3 linked regions of the Stegostoma tigrinum genome follow. The main gene of each other region encodes a partner of the protein of the gene in region 2 in a complex. Links are inferred from orthologs where the notes say so. Each region holds a gene or a part of one and is shown on either strand. Other genes may lie near its edges. The genes, in order: drc1, ccdc135 and efcab2.

Region 1 (7,817 bases), on a different chromosome or scaffold from region 2:
CCCCCCCAGAGATGCTGCCAGACCTCTTTGCCATAAGGTTCTTATCTTGGCAAGAAGCCTTATGTGTAGTACTTTGTTGAACTCCTTTTGGAAATCCAAATAATTTACATCCACTGGCTCCCCTGCATCCTTCCTGCTTGTTATCTCCACAAAGAATTATCATAAATTTGTCAGGCATCATTTCCCATTCATGAAGACATGCTGTCTCTGCGTGACTATGTTACATACTTATTTGAATAATAATTAATTACTTAATAATATAAATTATCAGGGCAGCAACCAGACAAATACTTGAATCCTATCATGGTAATAAATGCTTGTTTTTAGAATAAACTTATTTTCTGCTGAACTGAACAGCAATAGATTGGTACAGGAATCAAAGGTTATGGGGAAAGGCAGGAAATTGGGCAAGAAGTGTCCAATTAGCCATGATTCTACTGAATAGCAGAGTGGGCTCGAGGGGTCAAATAGCCTACTCCTTCTCCTATTTCTTATGTCTTACGATTATAATCTTAAATGTGCCAAAACAGAATTTATGCTGAGGGCAATGGAGCTGAAAGTGTTTCAGTTATTTAAGGGTTACATTTTCAGTCATATTGCAAAAGGAAATGGGACGCATGAACTCAGGCTAAAAGCACAGCAGCTACGCTATCAGCAGTCAGAACAGACATTAAACAAAATAATAACAATGTCTGTAAAAACTGTGGGTAATAGCAAATAATAATAGGCATCAAGAGGGTTGGGGAGGGCATCAAGAGGGTTGGAGGTAGCTGGAACTCACCATTTTAAAGTATGGTAGAGATGGAAACAGGAGAGACATTTAAGAACTGTTTCGATGAACCAAATGTGAGAAAATGAAATTAGAATAGATGGAGGTTTGTTAACTGCTGTGGACACGTCAGACTGGAAGGCCAATTTCTGTGCTGTAAGAACTCTGTGACTCAATTAGCTGGATAAAGGAATGTGAAAATTGTGCTCTTTATACTGAAATGCTTTCTATAAATACTGAATTAATATTTATGACCGAATGTAATAAGCTTTACAGTTCATTATGTTAAAGCTGGTCCTCTGTACGTAGGTGTGAAGTGAACAATTAGAACATACAACATTACAGCACAGTACAGGCCCTTCGGCCTTCGATGTTGTGCTGACCTGTCATACCAATCTGAAGCCCATCTAACCTACACTATTCCATGCATATCCATATGCTTGTCCAATGACGATTTAAATGTACCTAAAGTTGGTGAATCTACTACTGTTGCAGGCAAAGCGTTCCATTCCCTTACTACTCTCTGAGTAAAGAAACTACCTCTGACATCTGTCCTATATCTTTCACCCCTCAATTTAAAGCTATGCCCCCTCGTGCTCGCCATCACCATCCTAGGAAAAAGGCTCTCCCTATCCAACCTATCTAACCCTCTGATTATTTTATATGTTTCAATTAAGTCACCTCTCAACCTTCTTCTCTCTAACAAAAACAGCCTCAAGTCCCTTAGCCTTTCCTCGTAAGACCTTCCCTCCATACCAGGCACCATCCTAGTAAATCTCCTAAACACCCTTTCCAAAGCTTCCACATCCTTGTTATAATGCGGTGACCAGAACTGTAACTTGATTTACAGCATCCTCTCATAAGAGGAAGTGGAAGGTCCAACAGAATTAGTGATTGAATGCAGAGATACATTCATTGATTAAGTTCATCTTCCATATTTTGTTATAGACCAACAGGTAATAATCGTAGACCTAACCAATTTGGTTCACAGCATCAGAAGGACACACAAGATATGGCAATGCGATGATATGTGCCTTAAGAGGGATTTGCTCGGTCCTGTTTCTCTTGGGAAGGGTGTTGTAAACCTGGCTGCTGCATCGAAATGTGAGTAAATAGCTTTGTTTTTTTTTGCAAAAAAGAAGCTTGAATGTGTGAAGTCAGGCTCACATAGACCCAACGTTTTAAGGTTGGTTGGCTCGGCGAGCTGGTTTGTTCTCCTGCACATGTTTCGTTACCATGCTTGGTAACATCGTCAATGCAGCCTCTGATGAAGTGTCAGTGTGTTTTCCCGCCTGGCGTTTAAACTCAGGGGTCCGTTGCAAGGGATTGCCTCACTTCCAGGTTTTCTCCGTAGTGGAATGTATTTGGGGCCGAGTTCAATGTGTTTATTAATAGCCTGCTTTGTGGAGTGCCATGCTTCCAAGAATTCTCATGCTTGTCTCTGTCTAGCCTGTCCCAGGATCCTGGTGTTTTCCCAGTCGAATTGGTGGTTCTCCTTGTCCACGTGGATTGAGATGAGTGAGTATTGTTTGTGTCTTTTTGTAGCCAGTTGGTGTTCATGTCCTCTTGTTGTTAGTTTCTCCCTGTTTGTCCAACGTAGTGTTTCTCACAGTCTCTGCAGGGGATCTTGTAGATGACATTGGTCCTGTCCATGGCGGGGAGTGGGTCTTTAGTTTGGGTGAGCCCTTGTCGTAGGGTTGATGTGGGTTTGTGTACCACTCTGATGCCCAGCAGTCGTGGAAGTCTTGTGGTGAGTTTTGCTGATGTGTTCCTGACGTAGGGCAGTGTGATGAGTGTGTCCGGCATGTAGAATCTTTCTGATGCTGTTCCTGTAGGTATCTCCTGACCCAGTTCTTTGGATATCCATTATCCTTAAACACTTGGAAGAGGTATTCCTCCTACCCCCACACTCCCGCCCACACACACACACACCCACCCATCCACCTCCCTGCCCCACACACACCCGAACACATCCACCCCACATTCCCCTCCCCACACACACGCCCACCCATTCACCCAAACACCTCCACCCCCCACACACACCCAAGTACATCCACCCCACATCGCCGCCCCCCCCTCACCGTCTCTTCTCCTCCAGCCGCTGGGCAATCCGAATGCGGCGGGCGGCGATTCTCTCCTCGGCGACATCGGAGTTGACGTTGACGGCCGATTCATTGGCTTGAACGATAAGTGTGTCCGACATGGTAAGCAGCTGGTTTCCCGCCGGGGCTGCGGAAAACGGTAAGGACCAGAGCGGGAGCGGCCGGTACCCGCTGGGCCTGCGGGAGACGGTAAGGAGCGGGAGCGGCCGGTTCCCCGCTGGGCCTGCGGGAGACGGTTGATGCCCGTCGCTAGGAGACGGCGGTCGCCAGGAGACCGTGACGTCACCAAGTTGCCTGGCCGGAGAGATAGAGCAACACAATCCGGCCACAATGATTTAGGCTTGAAGTAAGAGAAAGGGGGGTTAATGAGCGAGTCCTTTAGAGAGCTGACAGAAAGGCTTTAAGGTAACGTACACCTCCACTTCCCCACAACATTCTAAAATTGTTTAAAAACTTTGTATGGCTCTAGTTTATTGAGAGATAGTGGGAACTGCAGATTCTGATAAGAAAAGGTGTAGCAGGAAGGCTGACGTTTCAGGCCTAGAGCCGCTCAGGGAATGAAAGGACCATTAGCAATACTAAGACAAAAATGGGTGACTTTAAACAGAATAGCAATTGTTAGTTGCTCAGTTCAAGAGTACAGTCTAATAGGGGAAATTAATTGTATTAATGATTTGAGTCCAGTGCAGGGGAGAGGTTGGAAGCGTTGTAGGCAGGGAGAAATAAGGAGGGGAAGGTAAAGGAGATGATGTCTCAATTTTCTTTCTTCAAAGCAGCATAAAATGAATTCTGAAAGGGTAGGGGAGGAGAAATGGATGCTTGTAACGACACCTATACAAAAAAAAGGTTAGGCTTTGGAGAGCAAGAACTGGAGCTGCTGGAGGCAGACATAGCACAGCATAGTGCTAGGGGGAAAATAGAAGAAGTCAGGTAGAATAAGAGGAAAACTGACGTATTAAGCAGTGCTACGGGTACCACATTTTTAGCATATGAACACAAACTGCTGAGGATAGTCTGTACTTTTCCGCTATTTTCTTTGATTAGTATTTTGAAAATTTCAAATCATTACTACACCAAAGGAAGATAGTTAATAAAAGGAACCCTACCAAAACTAGAGTAAAAAGGTAATCAGGAGGAAGTTATACCACTGTTAGAGTCGTAACTGAGCACGTGATAGGAAGGTAATAAAATGAGGCTGGATCAACACAGCAGTCTCCAGCATCTGCAGTTCCCATTATCACGTGATAGGAAGGCTTTGGTTAGTGATAGTCTTCTCAGCTCTAGGACATCTCCCACGAACTCCAGTAGAGAAGAGAAAAGCGTCCTCAGCCTCGCCATCATTAGCTGCTTCACGAGGATGGGAGGGAGAGTCACCAAAAAAAAACAAAAACTTAGGGATGCTTATTAACTAGTGTTCAGCCCCATTCATGACACCTCCAGCAGATTTAGGCCATACCCAAAAGGCAACAAGATTTGGGCAATAGCCATACTACCACTGGACCATCTCCAATAACCACCAGCCCTTGACATTCAATGGCATTACTATGTCCAAAATCTCCCATTAGTCAATAGTAATCCTCAGGCTACTGTTAGCCAGTTGCTACGTAAAACAGGGGTTACAAGAACAGGTCAGATGCTAGGATTACTGTGATAAATCACCTTCTGACTCATCACATTCTGTCCACCATCTACAAAAAAGGCAGAAGTCAGGGGAGATGGAACACTCCTGACTTGACTAGTGTAGTCCCTCAACCATTGATACTCAGTAGCAATATGTTGTCTCAAAAAGATGTACTGTAGATGTTCAAAAGATTCTAAGACAACACCTTCCAAATCTATGACCACCACCATGTAGGAGATGTTTAACAGCCCCTGCCCAGGCTTCCACCATGAAAACAAAAGTGGCATTAATGGGAATTAGAACTACAGATCAAGAGCTCCTGTTAATTAGTATGGCCAGTTGCAAAAAAAAGATGCGATGCACCAGGAACAGAGCACAACATCCACAGTACAAAATTCAAACTAATAGAAAATTACTACTGAATAGTTCAGTAAAATCTGTTACAGTTGGGGGTATATAGAAGTTATGCATGTAGTTTTATTTAAATCAAGTTCAGGATACCCCTCCCCCTCCCCACGATGACAAATCTTAACATGCTTTACAATCAAGAAATTTTTAAAAAGGGTGTGAAAAGGGTTTTTTTTTCAATAAATCATGTAATTTTGAGTACTTCAGTTATCAGATTGTATGAGACAATATAAATCAGACCACTTTTTCCTTCAGTTTTATTAAATATTCAATGTTTATCCTTACAATAAATAACTTGGTAGCATTTTACAAACCAAAAACCACCACTGGACCTCATCCAACAGCAGTCATACATTTTTATTCCGATGGTCACAGCAGAAGAGGGATTCTACATTAGAGATGTACTTAGTGCACTACTTCAGGTGAAATAATGACCAGTAGATATGACAATGTAGCATTCTCAATAAATTCAGTTAAAAATGAGACTGGTGAGTGATATGTCAGTAATCTGACCAACTGAATATAAAAAAAAACTTAGACACAAGAAAGCTGTCAAATTTGCACACAGCATACCAGATGAATTACTTCAGGTACATTTTTAAACAGCTTTCTGGGAGCAATAATATGCATACAACAGGATTGTGAACTTTGTACTTAATCATGTAGATCATTACTTCATCTGAAGAAGACAGCACCTAAAAAAGTGTTTTCTTTTAATAACTTAAAACATAGACCAAAAGAGAACAATTATCAAGAAAGTGTACCTTACAGAGGTTGCAATGCAAGTGAATCCTATTTTACTGAGTTTTGAACAAGTACATTAGCATTTTGATTATGAATCAGCTCATTTGGGGATTACAAAATCATGCAATGTGTCACAATAAAGCCTTGTACTTCTTGACAGTAAGCTAATTAAATTTTACAAGTACTAAGCTGCCGCTTCATGCAGTTCTGTGAATCAGCATACACTTGGTTTTCAGCACCAAATTTGCTCAGAGTGCGTACGCAGACCTGCATACAGAGTTTAGAATGAAGTGCATGTGCACAGCTTACAATATTTCTTTACAAAAATAACAAAACCATAATGATTGGGGGGGGGGGGGGTGTGGAAAGGCAGGCAAGGGCTTTTTAAATGATCTTTATAGAATTAGTACCATTAGGTTACTGATTCCACTAATCAGTCATCCCATTGTTATTCTAATAAAAAAGGTAAAAATGAGGTAGACTGGGTGTTTCAAGTAAAGGCAGCAAGGAATTTCCCAACTTGCTCTTCAAAAATGTTTCCTCATTAACATTAATATCAAGTCAAGGCATATTAGATATTTAGTCATCATGAAACAAGATTAAATTGTGGTCAGTTGTAGTGAAATATTTCTGTACAATAAATCAATTAGTGTAATCAAACAAAACCTTAATTTGAATACTATGATCATTTAATTATTCAGCTGCAGTTTTAAATGGTCCTATTACAAACAAACAATATAATTAAGTCACAAGGTAATGTTTTGCCAGTTTGCCACAAGATCATAACCAGAACACTACTGGAATGTAGGCACTTTCAAATTCTGCCCCTTTAGAACAGAGGTTCATAACTTTTTTTCACAAATGTATCTACAAAAAGCCAATTAAAAGCAAATTAAATTCAATTGTGCAAAGGATGACAGAGTGCACTGACAATACCAATTAAGACAAACAATTAAATATTACATGTCAAAAAAACTTGTTGCACCCAAGAATAAACTTCTGGTTTCAAAAAACAGTCATCCCACAAAAAGAAAATAAGGTAGGTCTTCCTCCGAATGAAGGAACCTCTAATTAGAAAGTGAAGCAGTTATTCAGTTTCCTCCCTTGTGCCTTTCATCACATTCAATGACACTTGCTTGCTGATTTGCAAATTATGATCAACGAAAAAGGAAGTATTTGTGGCGATCCTGTTGTACAAAGCAAAATATTTTCCTCACCCAAAACATTCAGACAAATTTGTTTTAGTTATGAAAATCATTAAGTTACTTCTGGCAACTCTCATGTACTTTAGAGTTGGCATCTACTATCACAAGTTGTGTAATACTGATGAGATATTTTAACTTTTATTTAAAATTAGGAAGGTGACCTAAATAAGGGTATTCTCAAATATTATGTATGCAAAAATTCAGCTAATCAGAGATCAGAACTCAGACAAGCAAAGAAAACAAAGGCTTTGGCATACCCATGCCCTGCACTGTCACAGAGGGATGCAAATGATGAGGTGGTTGAGAAGTTTGGACCAAATCCCTCCCAATTTTTAGCAATTCAAAATAAATGTTAGTAAGTCTTAATTAAAATGAGATTTAAAACATAAGAGGAGATCAAAACATGCATGAAAATTTGTTACTGATGATGTTCATATGCCACACTAAAATTAATTTAAAAAGTGAAGTGTGTGTATGATAAATCACAGACGTCTTGAAATACCCAAGATTGGCAATAAACAATTTGAAATCAATTCTATCAGAGTGTCTTCGAGGCTGTTTTAGATGATGAAAAAAGTTGCATTTAAATCAATTCAATAACCAGCTAACAAGTTCATTTCACTTTTATTGTTAAATCTCAGCTAACAGGTAGTGATCAAAATTTAAGACATTCACAAGTTTTAAATCAAATTATGCAGTTCTGTCAATGTTCTCCAAAAATAAGCTTCACCTAAAGGCATCTACAAACTATAGTGGTATTTTAGGCTTACAGGAAAGAAAATTCATTGTTTTAACATTTAAGATTATTACTTCTTTCTCAAAGTGAAAGCACAATCTCATCCAATAGTACTCAAATTGGTTAGTGACAAGGAAAATTCACTAGATTTTTAAAAAATCTAGACCAACCCCGAACTGCTTGATGCACTTTTAACTGTCATCCAAGTGTAATGAGATGGCCCATCTTTTTC
Region 2 (7,298 bases):
CCAAAGCATTGGCATTTTAACCAGCAGACCGTTGCATTCAGTCCAGACTAGAATCACATGCCCTTTCTTGGGATTTATGTTTAGGAATTACAGTCAACCTTTCAAGAAGTCAATAGCATCACATAATACTTTGTGCCTTTTCTCTTAAATGTCACAGTCAGTTTTCAGAACTAAAGCCTGCCAAACTAAACAAAAACAGTGATGCAAAGTGACTTCAAAAGGAAACTGTGACTATTGGGGAGGTCCATGACTGAAGTCTGAGGACCTTGACCAATTCTCCTTCGACCTGTCGAATTTGGGGAGATGCTGAAACAACAGCTTACATTTACATTAGCACCACAACTATCATTAAACAATCCCAAAGCACTTCACACAAATGTAATCAAACAAAATTCGACAATGAGCCACTAAGGAGATAGTAGGAAAAATTACCAAAATCTTGCTCAATGAGATAGATTTTAATAAGTGTTTTAAAGACAATGGGAAAAATGGAGCACTGCAGGGAAGAAATAGAACCCACTACTGATAGTTGAAGGCACAGCTGGCAAACATGAGTTATTATAAACAAGGATCCCCAAGAGACCAGAAATGGGAGAAAGCAGAAGTCTCTGGGAATAGATTGAAAATCAGACAGGCATGTATCTTCAAAACAGTTACATGATGTTATGACATGTAACATTCCAGCACAAAGGCATCAGCCTTGCTTTCAGTCACTCACTCAAGACAATAGTTTGTTCAGCCAGTCAGTTACTCAATGTACAATGAAACCTTCTTCAAGTCCCATCTGAACCTCCTGCCCTGACCTCAAAATTGTGCCCTTTGGTTATTGATACCTGTACTGAGGAGAAAGATTTCTTCCTGTCCACCTTATCTATGTACCCTAGAACTTTGTATACTTCAGTCAAGTCCCCACTCAGCTTTTTCTGCTTCAAGGAAAACAACCTCAGACTATCTAATCTCTCTTCTTAGCTGATTTAGTCCAGCCCAGGTGACATCCTGGTGAATCTCCTCTGCACCCTCTCAAGTGTAGCCACATTCATCCTATAGTATGGCAACCAGAACTGCACATAGTACACCAGCTGTGGCCTAACTAATGTTTTATATATCTCCGTAATAAACTCCTTGCCCTTGTATTCAATGCTTTTGCAAATAAAGGTAATTATCTCTTATGTCTTCTTAACCATCTTATTTTTTTTCCTACTTCCTTTAAGGATCTATTTTTATGCACACAAAGGATGCTCTGATACTTTGTACTTCCTAGGATACTACTATTCTTTGTGTACTTCCTTACCAGGTAGTCCTCCCAAAATGCATCATTTTTCACTTTGGAGGATTAAATTTGATTTGCCACTGATCTCCCCATCTGTCCTGTTAAATGCTTTCCTCCTTGCTATTTATCCTACCACTAGTTTTTGTGTTATCTGCAAACTTACTGATTAACCACCTGCATTCATGTCTAGATCATTAACGTACACTACAAACAGCGAGGGATCCAGCACCAAACCCGGTGGTATGTCATTGGACACAGGCTACCAGTTACAAAAACACTCTTCAACATCATTTTCTACTTCCTGCCATGTAGCAAATTTTGGATCCAATTTGTGAAATTGCCTTGTAGGATGTTTGCTTTTAAATTTCTTTACCAGTCTGCCATGCAAGAACTTATCAAGGGCCCACCTGCAGTCCATGTAGACAACATCAACAGCTGTACCTTCATCCAACACTTAGTAACCTCCTCAAAAAAATGCAGTCAAATATGATCTCCCCTGACAAAGCCATGCTCATGAGCCTTGATTAATCCTTATCTCCCCAAGTAGAGATTATTTCTGTTCCTCAGAAACTTTTCCAATAGTTTCCCACCACTGATCTTAGACTCTGGCCTGTAGCTTGTTTATCCCTACTACCCTTCTTGAATAATGGTATTACATTAACAGTCCTCCAGTACTCTGGAATCTCTGCTGTGGCCAGAGAAGATTCGAAAATTAATGTCAGGGCACATTGTAATGTCCTCCTTTGTGTCCCATGGCAACCTGATATTCATTTCATCTGTGCTTGGGGATTTATCTACTTTCAAGACCACAAAAACTGCTAATACCTCTTTCTCAGTGTCAATTTGTTCACATATCACTGTCGCCCTCCCTGATTTCTATGCTTACCTCGTCATTCTCTATAGTGAATCGAGATTCAAAGTAATCTTCTAAATCCTCAGTTATGTCTTCCGGCTCCACATGTAGATTGCCACTTTGGTGCCTAATTGGCCCTACTCTTTCTCTTGTTAGTTTCTTCCCCCTAAAATACTCAAAAAAACACCTTTGGATTTCCTTAATGCTACCCGCCAGTGCCTTCTCATACTCCTTCCTCGTTCTATTATTCTTTCAGTAACTCCCTCTCAATACTCTTCCAGGTCACACATTGTTTTCAGCCTTTGGTATCTGCCATAACCTTCTTGTTTGTCTCCCCTCATCCAACTCTACACATCAGGTTACTCTGGGCTTGTAGTTTCCACCCTTCACCTCATGGGAATATGTTAGCCTTGTGCTTTCATGTTTACCATTTTAAATGTCTCCCGCTATTTTCTTGCAAGTAGCTGCTCTCAGTTCACTTTGGCCAGATCCTGTCTTATTAAAATCAGCCTTCCCCATTTCAGAACCTTTAGTTCCAGTTCATCTTTGTCTTTATTTGTAATTACCTGGAATTATGGTTACTATCACCAAAATGCTTCATCATTGACATACCTTCCACTTGCTCAGCTTCGTTCCTTCAAAGTAAATCCATCGCCATCCTTCTGAATCAGACTTGCAAAATGCTAGCTTAAGTAATCTGCCAGACACATTTTAAGAATTCTATCCCCTCTAAGCCTTTCACAGTTAACTGCTATGTGAATTGACTTTGTCTGTCTGGCAGATGGGAGAGTGAAAATTGTCATATACATTAAGCAAAATGAAATAACAATGAAAGACCTCTCTGCATACTGGTGTGAAAAAAATCTAGGAGCAGGAGTTTCCAGGAGCAGAAGTAGTAAACTCAGCTCCTCAGACTTGCATTGCCATTCAGTACAATCATGCCTGATCTCAACTATCCCTCAACTCCACTTTCCTGTTCACTTTCCATAATCCTTCAATCAAGTACTAATTAAAAATCTGACGAGTTGCTCCTTAGATTTATTAATCTAACCTCTCATCTTGTTGGTCTCAGTAATCTTATCCTGCTAGCCAACACTTCTTTGGAAATTGGGACTTTCTTTGCTTTTGATATCCAGAAGCTCCTCCCTATCAATTTTTCATGATTTTTCCGAGTTTGAGGAACACCCCTGTTGTTCAGCGCTAGGGAAGTTTGTGCCCCAATGTGTCTTGGGAGATAAAATGATAAAGATAAGGGAAGCTACGTGCACATATGTTGTTGAAAATAATTATTTTTGCATTGGTAGGGTTTTGAGGGCGGCATCAACACCCCACCTCTGTCATCTCACCGTAGGAAAAATCAAGTTGTGGTCAAGATCATCTCTTAAAGTGAACAATCTGTGAGGCCTAATTGGCCTGAGCAGGAAGCCACCAAACATGCACTGTCTGTCACCCAAAAGCTACCACCAGCAATTTATGAAAACAATTTTAAAATCTGTTACCACGTGTCCTTTTTCCTGGCTAGTCTCGACCATTTGTAAACTTGAGCTCATCCAAATTCTATTTCCCCTATTCCCATATCAAAACCCCTTCCCCCTCATCCCTTGCATTTAGTGACCTACAGTAGCACCCGCTCAAGTCACATCTTGACTTTAAATTTCACTTCCATGTTTTCAAATTTATCATACCCTTGCTGTTCCTTGTCTCCATAATCTGCTCTGTCCACACAACCCACAGCAAGATATCCGCACCTCTTTATTTCAGACCTCTTGCGAAGCCATAATTTTAATCAATTATTCCTGCAGTTAACTTGGCCCCGAGCTCTGGAATATCCATCCTAAATCCATCCACTCATTCATTAAAACCTACCTTGTTGACAAAGCCTTTGGTCTCCTAACTTGATATATTATGTGGTTCTCGTTGTCATGATTTATCTCACAGTCCCCCCTACCCTGATGTGTTTTGTGATGTTTCATATTAAAGGTGTTATATGAATCTATGTGGTTGCTATTGTTGTAATCTCTGGCCTGCTGTCTTGATAGTGGTCTCAGTTTTGACCGGAAAAGACTACAATGCCCAGAGTGTCCTGCCTGTTGCCATGGTTGTTGCTAGGGACTGGTTGCTAAGCACTGGTTGCTAATTAAACTGGTTTCCAATCAACATCACAGGCCTGAGGCACTTGCACCTTCAAGGAAAAGCCTCAGAAAAAGCGACAGTTTAGACTGTTTGAGAAGCACAAAGGTAAAGGATCATCATTAACATTATTTCAATTTATTATGTATTTATTCTGTGTACTTCTTCACACAATTTTTAATTTGGTGCATGAACAAACTAGTTGTTCTTTTTACTTGTAACCTAGGAAGGTAGCTCAGTCTAAAAGTGCTGAGAGTGTGTAGTTGCACAGAGTTTGATCTTGACAATATAAAGAACAAGTTTCTACAAATAGGGAGGAAGTGGTTCATTTTTGCCGCTGTTTCAGGAATAAATGAGAGAGATAAGAGAAGCTATGTGCACCTGCATTTTTGAAAAGGATTATTTTTGAATTGATAATTACTCACCTTAATTTATGGGGTTTGAGGGTGGCACCAGCTCCCAGCGGGACCCCTAGAAAACAATCTGGCTCTTCTTCCAGGGGGAGAATGATACCAGGCGGTCTTTTGCACCCTCTGGAGAAGGCTTCGGTTTAGCATCTCATCCCGAGAACAGCACCTCTTGCTCTTGACTGAGCCTGGAGTGTCAAATTAGCTTATCTGCTCAAATCTCTGAAATGCCCTGCACCAAGAGGAAGCCGCTGATATTGCCACAGCTTAGTGCCTGGGCCACTGACCTCATCACAGGGAAACGAGAGGAAGTGGTGTGATCTGACAGAAGTTGCATAGGTGACAAATTGCATTTGTGAGTCAAGGATTGAGAGATTTCTGGCAGGTCCTCAGTGGTTCCTTGAAAGGAGTCATTCGCATAAAAGTTCAATGCAACTATCACCTTGAAAACCATCAGGACAGGATACCATGCACTCCTTCAGGTCTCACACCGGATGAAATTAACATGAAAATCCCACCTTCTCAACCTTACTCCTCACCTTTGTTATAGTGCAACAGTAGTGGCAATAATCCTGGTGTGACTGGATTCATCAATCACATTTCAAAGCATCTATGCCAGGAACATAAGAAACAGAATAGGCTTTTCATGATAAGAGCAATCAGCCTTCATATCCGTCACAAATGACCATTTGGCACAGTCCTCCATACAGTGAGTCATGGAGCACTCCAACAAAGAAGGCCAAGGAATGCCTCTCCATGACCCTTTGGCTTATTTCAGTAATGCACCTCCAGTAATGACATAAACAGAATACAGGAGATTGTACGTGCTGCATGACTATTGAGAAGTTGTCCTCCCAACCCCACTTCTCCTAAGAAAGGCGCCATTGCATATAAGATCACATCAACGAATACCTGCGGGTCAAGGTGATAGAGAATCAGTTTCATGCCCTTGTGCAGCCTTTGCCATTTAGCAGTATTCTGTGCTGAAGGTCACCTGTGATTACTTCTGCTTCACAAAGATGACTATCTTCAATCTACAACAACAAATGACATGGTCAAGATTGCTTGTGACCAGCACTTGTACCCCATACTGTTGCACAGGATGCATTTCACGTGCATGACATTATGATCATAGATAACATCAACCTGCACTAATTGCCCCATCAGTGCAGTTATACCTTGAAAGGCCTCAGGTTATTCACAAATGGAACCCATGTGTGGAGACAGAGTAAAACCTCTGACTCTACTCTGGATGTGGTTGCACCAATATTCTGTTTGCACTTCGCATCGAGGGGTCAGTTGAATATTGGACTCAATACAGGTCATACTTGGCACAGTGAGTCTTAGGCTCAGCCTGGTAATCAAAGGGTGCAGCCGAACCTCCATGTCACTTTCCTCCTATGATCCCCAGCATTGAGTTCCTCAACTTCCCTAGCACAGTCTTCCCTGATAAAACCACCGTGCTCTGTTGACTTTCATTCTGTTAATCCTCAGTACTGATCATGGTCTACCAGCTGATTGACTTTAAAGGGCAGCCCAACTGATGACTGACCGGACCCTTTAATGATCTGTGTGCAGCCCACCACCCCCCTACCCCCCCCCCCCCCCCCATTAACCAATTGTGAAACTCCTTACTATTTCTATGGGATCTGCAGGACTGAATGTGGCTTTCTCCCCAGACTTCAGTGAAATGGACCCTTGACTATGTCTGCCCCAAGCAGGCAGCTGACTGTGATCAAGCCCCTGGACTCAGATTAGGTGATGCCCTTGTCTTACTGTACTGGGACCCGCTGGCTGACTTGAATCAGAACCACTCTTTGAGGTAACTTATGCTGGGTGTTTCTCCTGACCTGGGAGGCCACACTGACCCAGGTGGCACCCTTTAACCATTCAATATTTACCATCTGCTGGAGTGTAAGGATTCTCCCAGACTTGCTGGAATCAATTCCCAGGTACTGACCTCATTAATGGCCAACATCTACCAAGCTGGTGTCATGGCCTCCTCTGGTCCTTGGGGGAAGAGGACAGTCTTCTTCTGTTAACCCAGTCAACCAGGCCCTTCAGGTCCCTGTCTGCAAAGAGTGGTCTCATTTTTCCCTTGGGCCATCATTTTTCCCTTACCCGCCGTGTCTGGAGCAAATAATCGTGCAGGACAGCTCCAGACCGACCATGTGCATAATGGCCTTGAAGTCATAAATCACATCCTGAGACAAACAGACAGGCAGGAGACCCATGGGGGGAGAAACTTTTAAAAATCATAATCAACAGAGAAAAATTATGACGAAATCAAATGGGACTGAAGTCTTATAGGTTCACTGGATTTGATCGCCTGTGTCAGAGGGTCTAAAACGAAGCAGCTTCAGAGATAATGGATGCATTTGTTGAAAGTTTCCTAAAAATTCCTGGATTCTTGAAGCGGTCCTAGCTGATTGTAAAACCCGAATGTAAAATCTCCAGTCAAGAGACCAGTGAGGTAGAAAGTAGAAAATTAAAGATCACATAGAATCTCATAAAAACCTATAAAATACTAACAGGACTGGGCAGGATAAGTGCAGGAGGGATGTTCCTGATTATCAGGTCGTCCAAAACCAGGGACACAGTCTAAGGATATGGGATTGGCCATTTAGGAATGAGATTA
Region 3 (7,590 bases), on a different chromosome or scaffold from region 2:
AATAGCATCAGAATAATGATGGTGTGGATGCTTCTTCCTTCGATTTTATTTTATATCATCTGTGACACAATTTTGTTGATAGCATTAAAAGACAACATGTTCTGGTCTTTGAAATAATTCCAAACTCTTCATCAACACCATTGAATGGGATAATAGTGATTTTCTTTTTGGCAAGATTATAAATCCCCACAGAAGTGACATGATAAATTGCTTTTTATTGCTTTGGGAATAGCATAGCTCTCTGTCCTTAAGGTTCTGGTCTCTGATTGTTGTTCAAGAAAGAAATTGAAAATGAATTGCATACTACCAGCAAAAGAGGGAATAAAATGGCAAAATATAAAAAGCGAATTTTAATATTTCATGTACTCTTTTCTTAATAGCAGTGTAGAAATAGTTTTTGGTAGTACAGAACCTGAACATTGCCTAAAAAGGACACATTATTTTCAGGTTTTTCATTTTGCACTCCTCAGGACAATTCACAAGAATATTGGAAAATAAGGGAAAACATTTATACTGAATGATGAGAGTGCTGACTGGTTGGCAAGTGGATTCTTGTTAGCAAAGACATTGCCATGGAGAACTTACCAGTTAGATTGTGACTGACAATTAAATGCCAAGACATGTTTAAATTTTAAATCAGGCAATATTACTCTGATTGGTCAAGGCATTTGCCTGAGAAATGAACCACAGAATGGATGTCGCCAGCATTCTCTCTAATTTTTTTTCTGACTGCATGAGCCTCCAAGCCGAATATCTGAAAGGTTTTATCAACAGGTGAAGCAAGCTTTTGAAAGTGGTATCACAAATGCCGTTCACCACTAACAGGATTCTGCCATTAAGCTAAAAAGATGTTTTCCCTGTTACACAAATGAATAATGTGGTAAATGAATTTCAGTGTCAGTGTGGTGCTAGCTATGTGGGCCATGTGTCCTCAAAGCTGGAAAATTATATCAAACAGCAAACCACTTTGGCTGTTGCAACAAATAAGACTGTAATCAACCAATCAACCAGCCCACACTTGCAAAATTCAAAACATGGTGCCAAACATTACATGTGACTCTGCAAATGGACAATATTTGCTACATGATCCTGAATGTGCAAAGAATTATACTGTCAAACATTGTAGGATCATTAGAGATAGTAGGAATTGCAGATGCTGGAGAATCTGAGATAACAAGGTGTAGAGCTGGATGAACACAGCAGGCCAAGCAGCATCAGGGGGGCTCCTCTGACGCTGATTGGCCTGCAGTGTTCATCCAGCTCTACACCTTGTTATTGTAGGGTTATTAGTTGGTTTGTGGCATATGTATGCAAACTGGAAGCTAGAGGGTGCTGGTCTTTGATGCTGGAATATGGACATACACTGTGCGCATTTCAACTGAAGAAAATAGATGATGGCCATTCTCTGGTTCATTTCTCAGGAATATGCGTTGATGAATCAGAGCTAATTTGCCTGGTTTAAAATGTAAACAAATCTTGGTAGTTAACTGTCAGTCACCATTGAACTGGCACATTCTCCATGGCAATTCATTCATTGGGAGACCATTTGCTAATCAATCAACAGTCCCCTCTCATACAGTACAAATATAGTTTCTCCATTACATTGGTATTCTTATGGATGTCACTGGTTGGTGCTAGATAAAACATTTCACAAAAGTGTCCTTCTTGGCTGTACTCAACGTGAAAATTGGGCGTATTTAAATTAAAAGTTAAATTTCATTTACAAATATGATTTTAAAAAATCAGTAAAATGGTGTTTTTAAAAGTACAGCTGCTGGTAAAACAATCAATTTCCTATAAGAATAACCTCCTAGTTAAAAATTCTACAAATCTGACATGAATTATGGCAAATAATATTCACTAAATTGTTCCGAAGAAGGATCACTACTTTAACTCTGCTTTCTCTCCACGGGTGCTGCCAGATCTGTGAGTCTCTCCAGCATTCTGTATGTTCATTGCACTAAACTGTGGCTAGTCAAGCTGGATTTTAAATAAACTCATTTGTCGCCATTCATGCATTTTTGAACAAATATAACGTTTCTGTTTATAATTCGGAAAAGATGATTTTTTTCAATGTGTCGCTCAAGTGGCAGGTGACTCGCTGATATTGATTTCAAAACACCGTGGATTTTAACGCCTCTAGCTTTTTTTTAAAAAAAGTAAGCTGAGGCTCCGCTAGTTTTAATGAAGACGTGATCTTTTTGACAGAGAGCAAAACAAATCACTAGGGGGCTACAGCTCTCCCTGTCTACAAATGATGGGTTAAAATTCTTTCCACATCATCGTCCTCTCAGAACAAAGACCAGAGGTCTCCAGCTGAGCTCCATCTTGAATCTGGGCGGAAAAGATTAAGCTGGAATTAAGCTCCGGGCCTGAAGAGTCCCTTGTTGTTGATGGGTTTTCTATGTGTGTGTCTTATGGAGGTTGCACCATCACCATCGCCATCGCCGACCTTTATCCAAGCTGCTGCTTACCTGCCGCTTCTTTGTCGTCGGCCATATTGTTTCGGATGGTTGCTAAGGAGCGCAGTTGTCAAGGCGGTTGTCAATCGAAGGGAAAGGATGGGGAGACAATGTTGGAGAAATCCCGGTCTCCCTTCTTCTTTTTGCAGCTTTGACGATTTTATATCAAAGCGCTGTTTAACAGATTCGTTGTCTGTAAAATCTCTTTCCTTTAAAAATCTGTTTGAAATCCCTTGAACTCATCGAGGTCTACTGCACAGATAAGGCCCTCTTGACCCTCGGTCCATCCACTCAAAAACAAGCCCCTACCTGTTCTAATTCTATTTTCCCAGCTCTTGGCCCTTAGCCTCGTGTGCCTGGGCACTGCAATTGCACATTTAAATTCTTCAGTGATGCAAAGATTTCTCTCTACCACCTTTACAGGTAATGAATTCCAGATTTTCAACACTCATGGTTCAATAAGGTTTTCCTCACATCCTCTAAACTTCCTGCCCCTATCTTAAATCTATGCTCCCTGGTTATTGATCCCGCCATCAAATCTACAATCTCTTATCTTTATGTCTGCTTCTTAATTGCTGTCTCTCTTGCAATTGTTTGTGAGTGCCATGGAAGGTTTCACTATGATGAAGGCAAGTTGCGTATAAATCCGAGTTGTTGATCTTGTTTTTAATCTTCTATCTTAATGCAGGGAAGGAGGGATATAAACATACATGTGTATTGAAACCCAGACCTAGTGTAGTATTTCTGTCATGATTTTAAAACAAAATGTATTTTTATCCTTCAAATTAAACAATTGTATAACGACATATCTGTACGATATCTATCAGATATATCTGTATATCTGTAACAACATACAGCATCTTTAATAACTCATCACAAGATTTTCACAGGGGCACTCTGAAACAACATAAAAAGATATTAGGGCAAGTGACCAAATTTTTCTCGGTCAAGAAGAGGTAGAAAGAAGGAGTGCCTTACCCTTAAAGAAGAAAAAAGAGCTGAAGAGACAAAGAGGGAGGTAATTCCAGAGCTTAAGTTCTTGTTAATCAAATTCTGAACCACAAATGGTGGAATGGTTAATGTCTGTGATTTTGAAATCCAGCATTAAAGGTGGGTCAAGGTTGCAGAAGGTAGTGAGGTTGAAAAAGATTACAGATATAGGAACAAATCTATGAAGGGATTTGAAACAAGAATAAATTTTAAAGTCAAGAACTTGCTTAACAGTAAACCAGTATAGATCAGTGAGTGCAAGGTTGATGTGATAACAGGATTTGGTGTGAGCTAAGATACAGGAAGCAGAGTTTTGGATGACCTCAAGTTTAGAGGGTAGTCTGTGCAAGAGAGCAGGTAGGAAAGAATTATTCAAATATAGAGATGAGAAAGGAATGGATAAGAGTTTCAACGGCAGGTGAACTCCTGAGTGATGAGTGAAAGTAAATGGTCTAAGTAATGATATCACAGTATAGTTGGAAGCTCATCGTGGGTTCTAATATAACACCAATGTTGCAAACAGTCTCATTCAGTCTCTAGAGAGGGGAATTGGGATCTTTGGCTAGGGAGTGAGGTTAGTTAGCTCATCCAGTACTAACGTAATCAAGAATTTAAAGACATAGTGGGATTGGAAGAGTTTCTGGTGAGGACAGCTGGATGTCATCAATACATCTGGAAATGAATGTGTTTTCAGGTAGCGTTGCAAACGGTATCTTGAGTAGGAAAGTTTTAAGAGAGGCCTGAGGATAGATTATTGCAGGTCACCAGAGGTAATGGTTTGAGAGTGGAATTAAAAGCTGATTTGACTTGCTGGCTGCAACTATTTAGATAAATTTGGAACCCCGTGGGTGAAGTCCCACCTGTTCACATGACAGCAGAGTCATCGGAAGAGGACAGTTAAATCAACTTGCATGGAAGTCTACAGAGAGATTAAAAAAGAAGATAGAGCATAGTTTAACATTGTCACAGTCATACAGCCCTTCACTTATAACTTTGATGAGATAACAAGGTGTAGAACACAGTAGCGCAAGCAGTATTAGAGGAGCAGAAAAGCTGATGTTTTGGGTCTGGACTCTTCTTCAGACCTTCCATCCTCAGACCTTCTATTTCTGAAGAAGGGTCCAGACCCGAAACATCAGCTTTCCTGCTCCTCTGATGCTGCTTTGTCCTGCTGTGTTCATCCAGCTCTACACCTTGCTATCTCAGATTCTCCAGCATCGGCAGTTCCTACTATCTCTAACTTTGATGAGAGTTTTTTTTGATATGGTGTGACAGAAATCTGACAAAGGAATTCAATCATAGCGATCTAGGAAAGATGGATCTTAATTTAGGAGATGGCAACAGTTCCTCAGACAGCAGAGAGGATTTAAAGGAGATGGGGACAGCATCTGAGGAGGCAAAATTGTTCATAATATTATCTTACATAGGAGCCAGGAGAGAAGCTGGGTGGTCAGCAGTTTAGTGGGAATAGGGTTGAGAAAGCAGCATGCAGTTCTACAGGACATCATGGGCTCAGAGAGGGCATGAGGAAAGATATGAGACAAATATGGGACTAGAATAAGGTCAGCTTTACAACATTTGAGAGCATCCAGCTGTGCCCCTGTAGTTTATTTTCTATAATTTCTAAACTGTTCAAATTACTTCAACTTTACCCAGCCTTTGAATTCACATGAATTGCTTACTGTCCTTTTTAAGATAACAGCTCCTCCTTAACACGTCGAGATCCTATTATCTTTTCACCATGGATTTACAAGAAGAACTGCCCAGGTCCCAGGCAGAAGAGGATCTTGTGAAAATGGCAATTAGGAACTTCATTCAAATGCATAAGGAGGTAAAGGAGCAGCAGGCAGGTGATGTGAGGCAATGGCCCTTGTAGCCCAGACGCTGAAGAGCTGCAGCTATGCTATGGAGGTCTTTGCTACCTTAAGATCGTCTGCCTGCCTCTATACATAGGATGATAGTTGCCATGAAGAGCAAGCTGCAACACTCACGGTATGCTGGATAGCATATTGGACTTGCTGTGTATCAACCAAACCATTGATCCTCAGGACTGAAGGCAAAGTCAAAGGGATCGGGGGAACCTTGACCTTAATCCAGGTGCCCCTTCCTCCAGGAGGCACCCTGCTGGAGGAGAAACCACACACGAACCCCTCAGAAGTCTTCAATGAGTACAGCCCAGAAATGCTGGGTCTTCCAGCCCAACCCCGCCTGTGCCTCTCCAACCTGTGAAAGTTTGAGTCAAGGAAGATGCATTTGCCTCTAGCAAGGACACAGTCAGCTTGTTTGGGCCCTCTAGATACAAATGCCCCCAGTGTCACCTGACCAAACCTCCAAGGCCAAATGGCTGCAGTGTAGAGCAGGCTCCCTCTACCCAGTTGTGGCACCTGACACTGCATCGAGATGTAACAGGAAGGAAAGACATGTTGATGGCCTGGGTGACATAACCCTTAATATTAAGCCTCATATTTTTCATAGATGTTAAGATTTTTGCACTAAATCTGTATGTTTCAGTCTCTGGTCTACCCATGTAGCAAAATGTCCACCCTTGTCAGAAGTTTGATGACTAACAAGACAAGCTGCCTGGTTCTGTAACTATGCTAAGAGTCATGGCAAGGCAAGAATGTTGTGATGATACATGTGAGTGTTAAATGAGTGAATATTATGAAAGCAAGTGAACAACTCTGAGATGCAGAGATAATGGGAACTGCAGATGCTGGAGAATTCCAAGATAATAAAATGTGAGGCTGGATGAACACAGCAGGCCAAGCAGCATCTCAGGAGCACAAAAGCTGATGTTTCGGGCCTAGACCCTTCATCAGAGAGGGGGATGGGGAGAGGGAACTGGAATAAATAGGGAGAGAGGGGGAGGCGGACCGAAGATGGAGAGTAAAGAAGATAGGTGGAGAGAGTATAGGTGGGGAGGTAGGGAGGGGATAGGTCAGTCCAGGGAAGACGGACAGGTCAAGGAGGTGGGATGAGGTTAGTAGGTAGCTGGGGGTGCGGCTTGGGGTGGGAGGAAGGGATGGGTGAGAGGAAGAACCGGTTAGGGAGGCAGAGACAGGTTAGACTGGTTTTGGGATGCAGTGGGTGGGGGGGAAGAGCTGGGCTGGTTGTGTGGTGCAGTGGGGGGAGGGGACGAACTAGGCTGGTTTAGGGATGCAGTAGGGGAAGGGGAGATTTTGAAACTGGTGAAGTCCACATTGATACCACATGGCTGCAGGGTTCCCAGGCGGAATATGAGTTGCTGTTCCTGCAACCTTCGGGTGGCATCATTGTGGCACTGCAGGAGGCCCATGATGGACATGTCATCTAGAGAATGGGAGGGGGAGTGGAAATGGTTTGCGACTGGGAGGTGCAGTTGTTTGTTGCGAACTGAGCGGAGGTGTTCTGCAAAGCAGTCCCCAAGCCTCCGCTTGGTTTCCCCAATGTAGAGGAAGCCGCACCGGGTACAGTGGATGCAGTATACCACATTGGCAGATGTGCAGGTGAACCTCTGCTTAATGTGGAATGTCATCTTGGGGCCTGGGATAGGAGTGAGGGAGGAGGTGTGGGGACAAGTGTAGCATTTCCTGCGGTTGCAGGGGAAGGTGCCGGGTGTGGTGGGGTTGGAGGGCAGTGTGGAGCGAACAAGGGAGTCACGGAGAGAGTGGTCTCTCCGGAAAGCAGACAGGGGAGGGGATGGAAAAATGTCTTGGGTGGTGGGGTCGGATTGTAAATGGCGGAAGTGTTGGAGGATGATGCGTTGTATCCGGAGGTTGGTAGGGTGGTGTGTGAGAACGAGGGGGATCCTCTTAGGGCGGTTGTGGCGGGGGCGGGGTGTGAGGGATGTGTTGCGGGAAATACGGGAGACGCGGTCAAGGGCGTTCTTGATCACTGTGGGGGGAAAGTTGCGGTCCTTAAAGAACTTGGACATCTAGGATGTGCGGGAGTGGAATGTCTTATCGTGGGAGCAGATGCGGCGGAGGCGGAGGAATTGGGAATAGGGGATGGAATTTTTGTGGGAGGAGGTGTATTCTAGGTAGCTGTGGGAGTCGGTGGGCTTGAAATGGACATCAGTTACAGACTAAGGGGGTGGCCATGGGCACCCGCATGGGCCCCAGCTATGCCTGCCTCTTTGTAGGTTACGTGGAACAGTCCC

What was found.
Region 1: ccdc135 (region 2) and drc1 share a complex: the UniProt entries of both Homo sapiens proteins name them as parts of the nexin-dynein regulatory complex. The link is inferred for Stegostoma tigrinum from reciprocal best matches to the Homo sapiens genes DRC7 and DRC1.
Region 3: ccdc135 (region 2) and efcab2 share a complex: the UniProt entries of both Homo sapiens proteins name them as parts of the nexin-dynein regulatory complex. The link is inferred for Stegostoma tigrinum from reciprocal best matches to the Homo sapiens genes DRC7 and DRC8.

Annotation. Positions count from the first base shown.
Region 1 is NC_081357.1:129,135,510-129,143,326, forward strand, and holds the start of drc1 (dynein regulatory complex protein 1), read right to left. Parts: upstream 3,107-7,817; 5' UTR 2,973-3,106; coding exon 2,851-2,972; intron 1-2,850. UniProt on the Homo sapiens protein: Component of the nexin-dynein regulatory complex (N-DRC) a key regulator of ciliary/flagellar motility which maintains the alignment and integrity of the distal axoneme and regulates microtubule sliding in motile axonemes.
Region 2 is NC_081363.1:81,622,865-81,630,162, forward strand, and holds the start of ccdc135 (dynein regulatory complex subunit 7), read left to right. Parts: upstream 1-4,275; 5' UTR 4,276-4,361; intron 4,362-7,298. UniProt on the Homo sapiens protein: Component of the nexin-dynein regulatory complex (N-DRC) a key regulator of ciliary/flagellar motility which maintains the alignment and integrity of the distal axoneme and regulates microtubule sliding in motile axonemes.
Region 3 is NC_081362.1:86,343,286-86,350,875, forward strand, and holds the start of efcab2 (dynein regulatory complex protein 8), read right to left. Parts: upstream 3,096-7,590; 5' UTR 2,500-3,095; coding exon 2,475-2,499; intron 1-2,474. UniProt on the Homo sapiens protein: Component of the nexin-dynein regulatory complex (N-DRC), a key regulator of ciliary/flagellar motility which maintains the alignment and integrity of the distal axoneme and regulates microtubule sliding in motile axonemes.